Linked DNA regions of Nothobranchius furzeri. The main gene of each other region encodes a partner of the protein of the gene in region 2 in a complex. Links are inferred from orthologs where the notes say so. Each region holds a gene or a part of one and is shown on either strand. Other genes may lie near its edges.

Region 1 (7,321 bases), about 37 Mb from region 2:
TTTCAACTGTTTTCTATCAGAAGCTAAAGCAGGAGATTGGTGTAGGAGACTATTTTTATGTTCAGCCTGCATGAAAATCTTAGAGTTATAATCAGAAATAAGATTAAAAAAATTTCAGTGTTTCACACCTTTAATCAAATACCTAGACAGGGGAGCTTCAAGACTGAACTGCAGCTGCTCAGTCACCGGAAAATGAAAGTGAACATTTTCAAATGATCTCTTACTATTTTGGTGTTCGCAGATCAAGAAACGTTTCTTTAAGATCTAAAAAGACATCTGTTGCTTTAGTGTCTGGTAGTTTGATTTTCACCTGAATGTGGGAGAAAAGTATTTATGAAGAAACTGAATGTCATAGCCTTTGTGCATTTTGATTTCTTCTGTCAAATAGAAGTTTGATGACATACCTGCATTGCCTCACAGCACATGGACGATGGATTCTTCCTGCTTAATCCTAAGAACAGGTCCTCGGTTCCCACATTCTGCTTCAGGATAATTTCATATCTGCACACAGACATAACAAAACTGCCTTTCTTGTTCTCAAAATGTCCCATCAAATGAAGAAAGGGCCTGCCTTCTTTAAATTCGGTGGTCCAGGAGGTAGACCAGGTTCAACCCCAGCTTTATCCCAGCCACTCTGCCATTGTGTGTTAGAAAAATGCTTCACCCACCCTCCCTATCCAACTATTACTATTGTCTTACTCTGGTTGAGGCCGTGGATCTACCACATCATCATAATGGGCCCCCTCAGCCACCTCTTCTTCACTCCAGATTGCTTTGCAGTTCTTCATGTTGGAACTTGAAGCTAAACAGCAAAACAGGCTGAAATAGTTTGTGTACTGCTATAATTCAGAATAAATGTAGAGAACTACAAGTAAACAACTCACCTTCATCTGTTTTTGGCGGAGGTCCGATGTGTCCAGGGCCAAGCTGTGCACAGGCATCCGCATTCTGGTGAAAATATAATTTCTAGTATTTTAGCTCAAATCTAAATATAAGAATTATGCAGGCAGTTAGTACAGTCGGTATGAATTACTACAAAACGGTTGTGAATTTTAAACTTTTACTTTATAGTTTTCATCTTCCTCCTCCTGTTTGGATAACAGTGCAGACAGAGCCAGTAGGTCCTGCGCAGATGATCCTCCAAGATACGCCATTGGGAAAGCTTAAATCCTTTCAAAAAAACACCTCAAACCACAACATCTACAAATGCAAATGCTTATATAACAAACTTAGTTTAGAACTTCAGCTTATAACCGGCTAAACGGACGTTTGAGAGGTCAGTGTTGACGGTTTCTGGCGACGAGGCTATCCGGTTGCCCTGGCAACCACCAGACACTTCAAGAAACGGGGAGATGGGGATTTCTATATCCTGTATTTGCTATTGTGACTACAGCTGCGTAAAAATGCTATTTAATGTTGGCTATAATTTTCCCAATTGAATAATTTCATTTTATGTATATACCTGATGTTACATTTGAAAGTTTCGCGGTTCGTCAAATTTCTCAAGAAGGCGTCACGTGTAATGCCCCTCCGCAGTTGCCGTAGTGAATGCATGGCCTTGTTCAAGGTGACAGACAGAGAGCCATGCCGGGAGCGCCTCAACTGCCACCTTTCACCGTTTTTGCTGCTGGGGCTGCCGGTGGCGGAGAAAAGGAGACAACGGCGCCGTTGAGCCTGGACGAACTGTCTCTGTACGCGGCTCCTCAGCAGAACCGTCGGTATGCGGAGCCCGAAGCCGGGCAGCTGGAGGAGCGTGTCGCCACCTTCAGGAAGCTAGCAGAGCCATACTCGGCTTGGTGTTCGGGCACCTTCGACAAAATTAAACCCAAAGTTCAGAAGGTCGTCCAGTTCGGGAGTGACGCCTACGCTTGTCTGCAGAAACCTCCGAAGGACTTCTATCCTCGGGCGGGAATCATCGGCTTTGCCGGAATGCTCGGCTTGTTTCTGGCCAGAGGCTCCAGGGTGAAGAAGCTCCTCTACCCGGCGGGTTTCATGGCCGTAAGCGCCTCCCTTTACTACCCAGAGCAGGCGGCAGCCATCGCAAAGTCAACCGGAGACTCCGTCTACGACAGCGCGGTGCGGAGCTACGCTGCGCTAGAGAAGATCCTGAAAAACCCTCAAAGCAAGGATGCAAACGGGGACAAATCTAAACGCAACCCGTAGGCTTATGTTCAGCTGCTCAGCAATACCAGCCTGGTGGTGACAGGACTGGCTTTAGGGCTAGGGTTAGAGTCCCTCTCTGCACTTTGCTGTTACTCAGGCCGGCCATGCCCTGTCACATACTGGACCTGCTACTTGAATAATTAACCTCTGATTGTATATTTAAGTAAAAAATGAATCTGTGGGGCTTTGATTAAAAATCAGGTTTTAACACATTTTTCTGGTTTGCTTTGTGAAGTTTGAGTAGAGACCAAAGAAAACGAAAGCTGTTCTGGTTCTGTAATAGGAACCTGACTTATGATTGTTTTTGATAAGTTAAACTACATCTTGGAAATCCCAAAACCATGAGCTGTAAAACAAGCAACATGTTTTAAATGAATAAATGATCATTCTTTTGAATACTAGTTCCCATTTTGCATGTTTTGTTGTCACAAACTCACCTAAGGCAGTGCCAATGAAAACAAATAAATGACTGGTAACATCTTTATTTCTCTCGGCCAAAATTAAAAAAAAAAATTAAATATGATCTACAGAAATGTCCTCAGAGCAGCACCAGCTTCTCGTTTAGGGCAATCTGTGCTTGGGTCAGGTTGGACAGGTAGGTCACCATCAGCAGGTCCTGCAGCAATGACAGTATTTACATGATTACACCAGAATAAGCAACATATTTACAGTAATGCAAAGGGACAATAGAGGTAAGGCAAATGCAAGGTCTAACTGAAGTCAGTACAGTTGAGGATCTCTTACGTTGATGTTGGAATTAAGCATGTTCTCAAAGTCCTCAGCTGAGATGGTCGGCACCTTGTTGACCAGGTCCATGAGGAAGCGGCCCACGCTGTTATCTGCTGTCACTTTTCCTGACTGAGACAAACCAACCTTAATCTTACAGCCATGATCAGCGTTTTAATCAACACCAACTAAACGTTTTCTACAATGACTTAAAACACTAAATTAATTAGTATAAAGGTGTAAATAATAGTTTATTTTTAAAGTTCACTCACCAGTACGTCCTCGATGTATGCGAGAACAGTGGTCAGCATGTCCTGTATCCTGGCTGCAGCACCACCCACCTGAGACAGGTCAGAGGTCAGGCCCTTGGTACGTGTGGTAGCCAAACGTGTCCTCTGTAACAGATCCACTGGAACACACACGGAGTATGAAGTACGGTTAAAATCTACTAAAACGAGGCCGTTATTTTATTTATTCTCGGCACTCTTACTTCCTATCCTCTCTGTGTCATAGTGGATGTACTTGACAGTCAGTGGGGTGAACATAACACCAACTGTTTTTCCTGGTACACCCATCTGGGCACTAAAAGACACACACACAGGGTCACTCTCACTGTTGATCACATTAAAAGATTCATGGACAGGAAGCTCAGATGACCTGACGTAAGCGCGGATGTTCATTTTGCCGCTTTGCAGCGCCGTGTCCACTGTCAGGTGAATGGGGTTGGTGGCCTCACGGCTGTAGTACTCGTGGATGAGAACAGAGTGTTCAGTGATGTCGAACCCTGTGGCATACCTGTCAGGAAGAGTGCATTTGTTCAAGAATTTGGCTTCTCTTTAATATAAAATATATATATATATATATATATATATATATATATATATATATATATATATATATATATATATATATATATATATATATATATATATATATATATATATATATATATATATATATATATATATAAGCAGCGGACATACCATCCAATGATGACCTCAGTGGGTGACACCCTCTTGTGAAGCTCATACATGTTCTTGGCAAACTCCATGTCCACAGCAACCTGCCATCAGAGAAAATAATGACCAAATCTTTACTCAACAGCCTTTGGAAAGAATGTTATTCCATTTTCTTCAACTTATCCAGAGTCGGGTCGTGGGGGCAGCAGCCTAAGTCGAGAGGTTCAGACTTCCCCCTCCCCGGCCACTTGGGCCAGCTCCTCCGGGGGAATCCCAAGGCGCTCCCTGGCCAGGCGAGAGACATAGTCCCTCCACCGTGTCCTGGGTCTACCTTTAGGTCTCCTCCCGGTTGGACGTGCCTGGAAAACCTCACCAGGGAGGAGTCCAGGAGGCATCCTAATCAGATGCCTGAGCCACCTCAACTGGCTCCTCTCAATGGGAAGGAGCAGCGAATCTACTCTGAGCCCCTCCTGGATGACCAAGCTTCTCACCCTGTCTCTAAGGGAGGGCCCAGCCACCCTGCAGAGAAAACTCTTTTTGACCGCTTGTATCTGCGATCTCGTTCTTTCGGTCACAACCCAAAGCTCGTGAGCATAGGTGAGGGTAGGAACGTAGATTGACCGATAATTCGAGAGCTGAGCCAGATGGCGAAGCTCTCTTCACCACGACAGATTAGTACAACGCCTGCAGCACTGCAGGTGCAGCACATATCTGCCTGTCGATCTCGCGCTCCAACTTTCCCTCACTAGAGAACAAGACCCTGAGATACCTCCAGAGCAAGTCACCCCCAAATCAACCCTTTTTTTGCTGATAAACTACATAAACGACTGTCTAATCATGATGTAGACACGTGTTGTTAATATTTTGGCACTGTAGTGCATCTTAATTAAACTTTAAATCTTCTGCCTATAACTGTCGTTGTGCCCTCTTCAGGTAAAAACTCTGCATTTGAATTAAAATCTGCCATCGCTATTGGCAAAGAGGTACACTATGATGTTAGCTGGCACACTATTATGTCACAATGTTGTTGTGAGCCTGTGTGTGTGTATTTGTTAGTGGCTCCGCCCTCTCGGTCTGCTAGGCAACAGCATTTGTTGCATTTTTTTAAACAGGAAGTGGGAGTGGAGTAAAGCTTGGTTTATGCTTGACGCATTCACTTTCCGCTTGGTGATGCGGCTCGCGGATGGAACGAGCTTCACAACTTGCAGCTTTTATGGTTCATGCGGCTCGTCTCTGCGGTGAGTCAATATTCTCCCAAACTGAACGGGGCAGCATGGAGCTCTACGGCATGCATCCAACACTACACCATAGTAGAAGTAGAAATTACTGTTTACAACATGGCATTTCAGCATTTTTACCAGCGTCCTCGTCTTTTCCGACAGTGCGAGCTATTTCTCTCCAAGAGTTATTAACAACATGTTGATCACGGTGATCTCTGAGAGCTGAATCATACAAATGTCTGTGTTTACGAACCTCTGCCATACTAGTTCTTGCCGGTCCGCCATGTTTTTCCGCGTCCGTCCGTCCGCGTGGTTAGAAATTTTCCGAGGTGCGCATTGCGGAAATTCTGGGCCGTGCGGAGGCGCGGTGGAGGGGCGTGGTTGTTAAAATGACGCAACTTTTCCGTGCGGACCTCGCGGACGCATCAAGCATAAACCAACCTTAAGACTCTGGTTGGAGGTGACTTGCTCTTTAAACTTCTCCACTTGAGGCAGGACCTTCTCCCTGACCCGGAGAAGGCATGTTGATTCACAATAATTATCTACATGGTCACAGTAGTAGTATTTTTAAGAGAAATTATTTTGAAGATAAATTTAAAACTTTTTTATTGGAACAAGCATATGGTTAGGCTGTATTATTTCTAATTGATATCCTCCTTTTATAGATATAGTTTTATTCATAGATAAGTGCTTACAAATGTTTCACTGTTAGCTTAATTTTATGGCCGTGTATGGATGTGTGTGTAAATGTTTGTGTGTGTGTGTGTGTGTGTGTGTGTGTGTGTGTGTGTGTGTGTGTGTGTGTGTGTGTGTGCATGTTTAAGTTTGACCTCAACCATCAAAAGGAAATGTGAGTTCATGGTAAAATCCAATGCTAAGAGAAGAGAGCGATAATATTGTGAACAGAATTTCATGAGATGTTTTTGCCGAACCGTTCCTGGACTACAAACCTCAGCAGACAGAGCAGCTGTTACATAGAAGAACCAGGTCACATTTGTTTTCTACATAGCAGTTTATCAAGGCAGTAGTGGTGATGATGCTGATGGTACAAGTGGAAATAATGATGAGGGCAGCACAGGTCATATTATTATTTAATGACAATATCGGTTGTGATACACCCACGTTATCTTATGACACTATCAACACTACATGTAGGGATTTAGGACAGTTGTTTGCAGCTTGAGTTTGTCATTTGTTGGAAGCCTTTGCATTATTGCTACTGCTCATGTCAATATTACCATGTTATTACATTTTCAATACTGCAACATCAATAATCATCTACACCGTACAGGGGTCCTCAGTTATAACGGTCCGAGGGCTACTCACAAAAAAGACCCAGAAGCAAGAGGGCCGGATTTTTGGGGGGGGGGGGGGGGGGGGGGGGGGCTGCTGTTTGGATCGCTGGCTGTGATGCACATAACACACAAGCTTGCAACATAAAGAAGTACCTTTCTCAGCGGCCTAGAGGTAGAGTGTCCGCCCTGAGACTGGGAGATCAGGGTTTGATTCCTGGCCGGGTCATACCAAAGACTTAGAAAAAATGGGACCCAATGCCTCCCTGCTTGACACTCAGCATTAAGGGGTTGGATTGGGGGGTTGAACCACCAAATAGTTCCCGAGCGCGGCTGTGTCTGCAGTTCACTGCTCCCCCAGGGGATGGGTCAAATGCGGAGAACAAATTTCGCACACACACCTGTGTGTGTGACAACTAATGGGACTTTAACTTTAAGAACACCTGTCCCTCTCCAGCTCAGCTGTGTGACTGCACTAACCTGTCCTGTGGGACCCTCACCATGTAACCCTCATGTCCATGCCGTCTCTGGAGGAGCAGATCATACAAGATCTCCCGTAACTTAAAATGAACCAAAGCCTCCTCCCAGTTTCTCTTTAAGCTGAATTTAACATCAGTTTATCATCATTAAACAAAAGAATAAAGTGGAACAATAACTTCTATCTTCTATTTCTCTCTCCTTTTAACTTCTCCGTGTCCCTAAATAAAAGAGACAGATGATCACGCTGCAGCCGCCGTCACTCACCCCGCTCCCTCCCCAAGGCCAGATCTCTCGACATCACAACACTGACTGAGCGCTTCGAAGAGAAATAATAATGAAATTATGAAAATAATAATGCGTGTTTGGAGGAGTGTCCTCCGACCCCCTCATCTCAGTCGCCGATTGAGCGAGCAGAGTGCGCCGTGCGACAACCCGCTCAATTAACATAATTCACGGCCCAAATCCAACAGAACCAATTGGG
Region 2 (7,006 bases):
AAACTAAGCTAGTTCAGATCATTTTATTACAATAACTAGAGTTGTTGCTGAAGGCTTTACTGAGCTGTGTGGGAGGACACCACCTAAGCAGGTTTACCACAGGTGTGTGTGTGTGTGTGTGTGTGTCTTAAGTGTTGTTTTCTTCCATCTCTACCATTCCTTCCTTTAAGTAAGAGCTGTGTGGGACTGTTGAGGGAAGCTTTTCAGTCCAGCCTTTTATCCTTTTTTTATTATGATTTTTTTTGGCAGAGTAAATCCTGGATTATTAAAGAACGTTTTAGAACTAAAACGTTTGAACTCTTATTCATTTGTGTAGTGTTTAAATGTGAGTCTGTATTTATTGTTGAAATCATACAGTCACTGATATCGGGGGTTAAAATAAAGGATATTTTCATTTAAGCTGATCATTTTCATTCATTTTACTCCAAATTTGTCATCCTTACCTCTCCTGGGTTATGTTGCACATTACCAGTTTAGTTATTAGTATTAGCACTTTTATCTCATTTAACTCCATCTTTGTTCCGTGTGTGTGTGGGATGTACCTGTTTATATCTGTGATGGTCCTGGGAACGGCAAAGGCTTCTGGTCAGGTTTATTCTAAAGAATGTCAAAGTTCCTCTATGCAACGCTTGCATCTTGGTTTTATTCTGTGGCCTCGACCCACGAGCACTTAGCTGAGAATGTAATCTCATCATATCCACTGTTCTGCATAAATGTGTCGGGGACGACATATCTCACAGTTTAAGGCCTTTTTCTTCCAAGGGGTTGATACTTTTACATTGGGTGCTTTTGAAATGTGCATTGATCTGAGCCAAGTGAGAAAACTGAGAGGAGAAGTCTAATTTGATTTGGTTTCCTCCAAACACACGCCTGTTTCCCCTGTGCACTACATATGTAGTTTCGACAAAGCAATGCCATCCGAAACAGAAATGCAAATGTTTTTCAGTCTACCATAGGATGTATTCACTGTACTGTTTACTTTTCATATAAACCAAAGATGTCTCCCTGTTGTAGTTTATCTTTTGCAGTATGTTATTTTCTGGCCCTGATTTTAAATAAAATTAGAGTATGTCTGATTTTCTGGCAGATTATTTTTTACAGTGAATTATTTGTGTCATAATGAGAATTTTGAGAACTATGGAGATAATTTATTGTGATTTTTGAGATTTTGTGTCACCATATTTCCAGAATGAAGGGCACAGGACTAATTTTTCTTTTTAAATACTGTATTTGATGACCTTCAAAAAGAATCCAATAAAATCACTGTCAGAAAAGTAAATTTAAGTGACAGAAACTAAACGTAATAAAAGAAACTGGTGAGGAAGGAGTGGTTTCGTGACTGACAGAAATGCAAAATGATTTACAACTTATACAGGAGGGTGGCATGTTATCATACATTATGTTGATAAATATCATGTATGTAGCAGTATTCGGGATTAAATATTCACAAATGAGCTGATAAGGAGCAGGACTGAAACGAGCACAAGTTTGGGATCAAATTACTTTATTTTCTAGATTCCAGAAAGTCCTTCATACCACATTTGTCCAGGAGGGGGCGGCAGGTCGTCCATCTGCGGTTAATACCATCGAAGAAGAAAATGGAAGCCTTCTCTTCCGCCACAGCTCCGGTGTCTGACACATGAGGGTTTAACTTTTCTCCCATTGTGAGGCGCAGCAAATTGACTAAAGCATCTGGAAACACCTAGCTGACGACAATGGTTGGTATATTTATTTACAAGGCAATGTTTACCTGGCGGTTTTCAGTTTTTGTTCTTTAGCTTGTCGCTGTAGTTTGGGGTTTTACTTTGTCTGTTGTGGCTAGCTATAGCTTTTCACGTTAGCTAATGTACATATTCATTTTGGCAGAAGTCTTGAGTTAGCTAAGCTATGAAAGAGATTTCTGTGACTCGTATAGTGTTGGTGCTTTACGCCTAGGCAAGTCAAAGCTACGTTATTCTTTCTTTTTTCAATTAAAACAGTCATGTGTAAATGCTAGCTTAATCTGAACCGTTATCGGTGTTTCTAGAAACCCATTTTGCTCCAGGGCCACGAGAGGTCCATCACACAAATCAAATACAACAGAGAAGGAGATCTGCTCTTCTCGGTGGCTAAAGATACAGTGAGTTGGTACACACTCGCTCTTCTGTCGGATCATTCAACACGACGTTTGGGAGCAGCCAAACTCATCCCTGCTGTTCTGCTGCTATCCAGGTTGCCAACGCGTGGTACTCTGTGAACGGAGAGAGGCTCGGGACCTACAATGGACACACCGGAGCTGTGTGGTGTGTTGACTGTGACTGTATCCTTTGCACCTCTGCCTAATGTAAGCTAGGGGTGTCTGTCAGTGAAGTTAGGCATCTTAACTAGTTGTCTCAGGGGACACAAAGAACGTGTTAACAGGATCAGCAGACAACAGCTGCAGGCTGTGGGACTGTGAGACTGGTAAGTAAACCTTAACAATGTGCTTTTCCAAAGAGGTGGACATGATTTTTAGGGTATTGGGATAGTTTGTAAACCTGACATCATGCTGTCTAAATGACATCTTTAATGTGTTTTCACAGGTAAACAGCTGGCTCTGCTCAACACCAACTCTGCCGTCAGGACGTGTGGGTTCGACTTCAGCGGCAACATCATCATGTTCTCCACCGACAAGCAGATGGGTTACCAGTGCTTCCTGAACTTCTTTGACCTGAGGGATCCACAGCAAATAGGTAAACATTAAATGCGCAAACACACACACGCACACATGTTCTGCAATGGTGTGGCCACAGTATATGGACTGGATATATACCATTTTAAACAAACTTTCTTACACTTTTTGCAATTTTTAATGTCAGTCAGACACCTAAATAAAGTTAATTTAGACCAATCCTGGTCCTGGAGGGCCGGTATCCTGCATGTTTTAGTTTGAACTCTGTTTCAATACTCCTGATTTCAATCAGCAGCTAATTAGCGGTCTTTTGCAGCGCCTGATGAGCTGCTGCACAGGTGTTTCAACCACTGAATCAAGTCTGTAGGAGCAGAAAAACCACAAAACCTGTTGGATACCGGTGTCGGCACAGGATCTGCTCGGGTGCAAAATTGGCTCAGGGTCCGTCGACTGCCGATGACGTCTAAGTAGTTGATTGGCTGCACATGAACCTTACGGAATTACGTAATCACGTTACGTTGTTATCACGTTACGTTGGTCCAGGCAAATCTTTCTGTTGGAAAGATGGACAACTTTTACAAAGAAATCCATCATTACCTCTTTGAAAATACACTTTGAGCATAGAGCTGCATGTATATTAGGGCTGAACGATTAACTGCATGTGTAATTAAATTGCGATGTGACAAAAGGAGATTTTCTAATCGCAAAGGCTGCAATTTGGCAGCGAGTGGTTAGCGCAATGCTAATATACATGGAAAAACCCATAGGAATGCTAATGCTAATATCGCCGATTACATGATCAAATTATGAATTAGAAACGTGCCAAATGATTACATTTGGAGTCTAATAGAAAGTAAAAATACCATCAATCAAATAAGTACAGACAGGTATTTTAGTAAAGCCAGAAAACTTTTAACTCCAGAGTTTTGGCTAGCAGCTATGAGCGTAATGAACTACGCATGGACAAGACGTCAAAAACTCTAAACACAAAATACTTCAATAAATGGGACACACTTCTTTCCTGCAAATACAATTTCACAGGTGTTGCTAATACCTATGATTCTTCAAGGGATGTGCTCAAAGAGGAGTTCAACATCATGACTACAATATAGTGTTTTATTTTACAAATACCATTATAAACACAAACTTACGTCTTAAGAAACATTATTTTAATAAGGAAACTGCTAAATTCTTTCCAACAGTATAGATGTGTACTGTATTTTGTCCGAGTGGGTTTGCCGTACTTTGACGTCATCGGCAGTCGAAGGACCCCGAGCCGATCTTGTACCGACACCGGCCCTCCAGGACCAGGATTGGGCACCCCTGATTTAGAGTATTTATTATGCAGATGTTATTAGTGAATGTTGGGGAAAAAATTTGAATTAAATTCTGCAACAGCACCAGGGTGACTATAGATGTGCCTGACTTTAAATCAGCTTTACTAAGAAAAAACAGCCGATGAATAAAAAACTAAACATTGGCCAACCAATATAATCGGTCCACCCCTAATTCACTCATTCCTTTATTCCATGTAGCAGCTCAGTGGTCACTGTTTTTCAAAATTGCATTGATTCATGTACCAGACTATTAGACGAAGAAATAAGTTAAGATCGTCTAGCCTAGTGAACTAGACCAAATTCTTGCCTTGTAATGTTTGGTGTGGGAACGCTCCACCGGAACTTCTGAGGCCTCCTAGCAGCATTCTGGCAGATGTGTTTTAGTCTTTTATTTAGAAAAAGGATGTATTTTTGCCGCCTTCAACGGCAGACATCCTTGTTTACAGAGGTTGCGGTGAGTACTCCACGTTGTTCGTTGTCCAGTAGGGTGCAATGATTGTTTGAAAGACAACGGTAGAACCCGCCCCACGACAGGCAATGGAACATTAAATAATATTATGGATTTAGTCTGGCGTGCCAGGCTAAAGAACATCCAAAATATCTCAATTTAGAGACTATTTTAAGCTAAAGAAGGTCATAAAAGTGCCAACTATGCTTCTGTTGAAACACACGTAGATTTCCTCAATAACACGTGTGCAGCAACTTTTCCCACACTGAAACATTTCAAAATGAATTGACATGTTTTGTGCACGTGTCCTGAATCAAGTTGAAGATGGTGTGATGTAGGGTCGTCACGGTGTGAAAATGTAGCCTCGCGGTTATCGTAACCAAAATGAAAACGGTATTATCGCGGTATTTTTTTAAACGTGTTACATTTTCAGACAACTAAATAAACCCTGTATGTCAGGAAAATATTGTCCTCAGTTTGTGTCTAAATTTTGCCTAAAACGTGTTATTTTGTAATTATGTTGTTTATTTGTTTACATTTTTCCCCTTTAGTCTTTAAAATACCAATATTTGCCCATAACTTCAAAATTTTTTGTCTGTTTGATGTCATCATTTTAAAAATATTAGACCAGATGATACTCAGTACTCAAGTAGCCTTCTAATCAGATACCGTATTTTCACGACCATAGGGCGCACCGGGTTATAGGGCGCGGGCATGGGCACGTTCAAACGTACCGGTGTCGGTACAGGATCTGCTCGGGTGCAAGATCGGCTCGGGGTCCTTTGACTGCCGATGACGTCAAAGTACGGCAAACCGACTCGGACAAAATACACTACACATCTATACTGTTGGAAAGAATTTAGCAGTTTCGTTATTAAAATAATGTTTCTTAAGACGTAAGTTTGTGTTTATAATGGTATTTGTAAAATAAAACACTATATTGTATTCATAATGTTGAACTCCTCTTTGAGCACATCCCTTGAAGAATCATAGGTATTAGCAACACCTGTGAAATTGTATTTGCAGGAAAGAAGTGTGTCCCGTTTATTGAAGTATTTTGTGTTTAGAGTTTTTGACGTCTTGTCCATGCGTAGTTCAGTTACGCTCATAGCTGCTAGCCAAAACTCTGGAGTTAAAAGTTTTCTGGCTTTACTAAAATACCTGTCTGTACTTATTTGATTGATGGTATTTTTTACTTTCTACTAGACTCTAAATGTAATCATTTGGCACGTTTCTAATTCATAATTTGTAATAATGTAATCGGCGATATTAGCATTAGCATTCCTATGGGTTTTTCCATGTATATTAGCATTGCGCTAACCACTCGCTGCCAAATTGCAGCCTTTGAGATTAGAAAATCTCCTTTTGTCACATCGCAATTTAATTGCACATGCAGTTAATCGTTCAGCCCTAATATACATGCAGCTCTATGCTAAAAGTGTATTTTCAAAGAGGTAATGATGGATTTCTTTGTAAAAGTTGTCCATCTTTCCAATAGAAAGATTTGCCTGGACCAACGTAACGTGATAACAACGTAACGTGATTACGTAATTCCGTGAGGTTCATGTTCAGCCAATCAACTACTTAGACATCATCGGCAGTCGACGGACCCCGAGCCGATCTTGCACCCGAGCAGATCCTGTACCGACACTGGTAAAACATTGTGCGGGCTCGGAGCATATCAGTGCAAACCAGACATTGTGAAAATTATAAACAGCCAAATAATGCTTCACTTTACTGGTCTAGTCCTGGTTTAGAGCGCACGTGCACTTCCTCATTGCGTGTGCTGACGGCTCGTGCTCTTCTAATGGGCTCGACACACGGGAGGCAACTTTGCCTCTCCATTCATTTTCAATGAGACACGCGCGACAAAGCGATAATCGCGTGTCTCCCTCCTGTTACAGCCGGGCGTACACCGGGTGTTCTAAGTACAACCAATGTAATAAAAATGACTCAACGTTCTTCAGCTCAAGAGGTGTCGTGTTTATTTCTCAGCCCGCCGAACTCCTTCTAAACTCCTCCCACTTCAGGCAAGTCTTAAAGGCATACACACTGTATCTATTCACATGACATCTCCCCTCCTTTGAGTCAGAGACGGTGTAAACAGAGTATGTGAAAGAACAAAGTACATCTTTTCCTCAAAGCATTGGAACCCTCTGCAACAGCAACCGACAGTAGGAACATAACATAGATGCTTTTAACCAAAGAGTCAATCACAATAATTACAAACGATCACCCAACACTTTTTTTTTTTTCTTTCTTTTACATGAGAGAAAAAAAAATGGAGGCAACAGGCAACCATACATGCGTCGTTGGGGTGATGGGGTGGACTACCCAAACACCCTTATAGCGGCCGGAGGTTATTCTGCTCCATTTAGGCCGGCTATACGGTTCAATAACAAACAAAGTCCTTGAGCCTCCTGGGGGGCCAAATGACTCTGCCTGTAGAAGACATCCGAGCTGATCCTGGAGGACAATCAGAAAGGCCTGCTGGGACGGTCCCTTGGGCAGGCGAAACAGACTCTTCAGTAGGTGAGGCAGCCCCTCTAACCGGGGAGCCTAAAGGTGTGG

Evidence for each region.
Region 1: eif3i (region 2) and eif3f share a complex: the UniProt entries of both Homo sapiens proteins name them as parts of the eukaryotic translation initiation factor 3 (eIF-3) complex. The link is inferred for Nothobranchius furzeri from reciprocal best matches to the Homo sapiens genes EIF3I and EIF3F.

What each region holds. Positions count from the first base shown.
Region 1 is NC_091751.1:40,243,538-40,250,858, reverse strand, and holds the end of eif3f (eukaryotic translation initiation factor 3 subunit F), read right to left. Parts: intron 3,953-7,321; coding exon 3,873-3,952; intron 3,685-3,872; coding exon 3,547-3,684; intron 3,472-3,546; coding exon 3,380-3,471; intron 3,299-3,379; coding exon 3,162-3,298; intron 3,022-3,161; coding exon 2,908-3,021; intron 2,780-2,907; coding exon 2,702-2,779; 3' UTR 2,630-2,701; downstream 1-2,629. Other genes in the region: dnaaf6 (dynein axonemal assembly factor 6), read right to left, coding at 225-310, 405-501, 700-802, 885-948, 1,065-1,154; MICOS complex subunit MIC26, read left to right, coding at 1,549-2,163. UniProt on the Homo sapiens protein: Component of the eukaryotic translation initiation factor 3 (eIF-3) complex, which is required for several steps in the initiation of protein synthesis.
Region 2 is NC_091751.1:3,239,439-3,246,444, forward strand, and holds the start of eif3i (eukaryotic translation initiation factor 3 subunit I), read left to right. Parts: upstream 1-1,578; 5' UTR 1,579-1,715; coding exon 1,716-1,718; intron 1,719-2,026; coding exon 2,027-2,119; intron 2,120-2,211; coding exon 2,212-2,299; intron 2,300-2,376; coding exon 2,377-2,442; intron 2,443-2,561; coding exon 2,562-2,711; intron 2,712-7,006. UniProt on the Homo sapiens protein: Component of the eukaryotic translation initiation factor 3 (eIF-3) complex, which is required for several steps in the initiation of protein synthesis.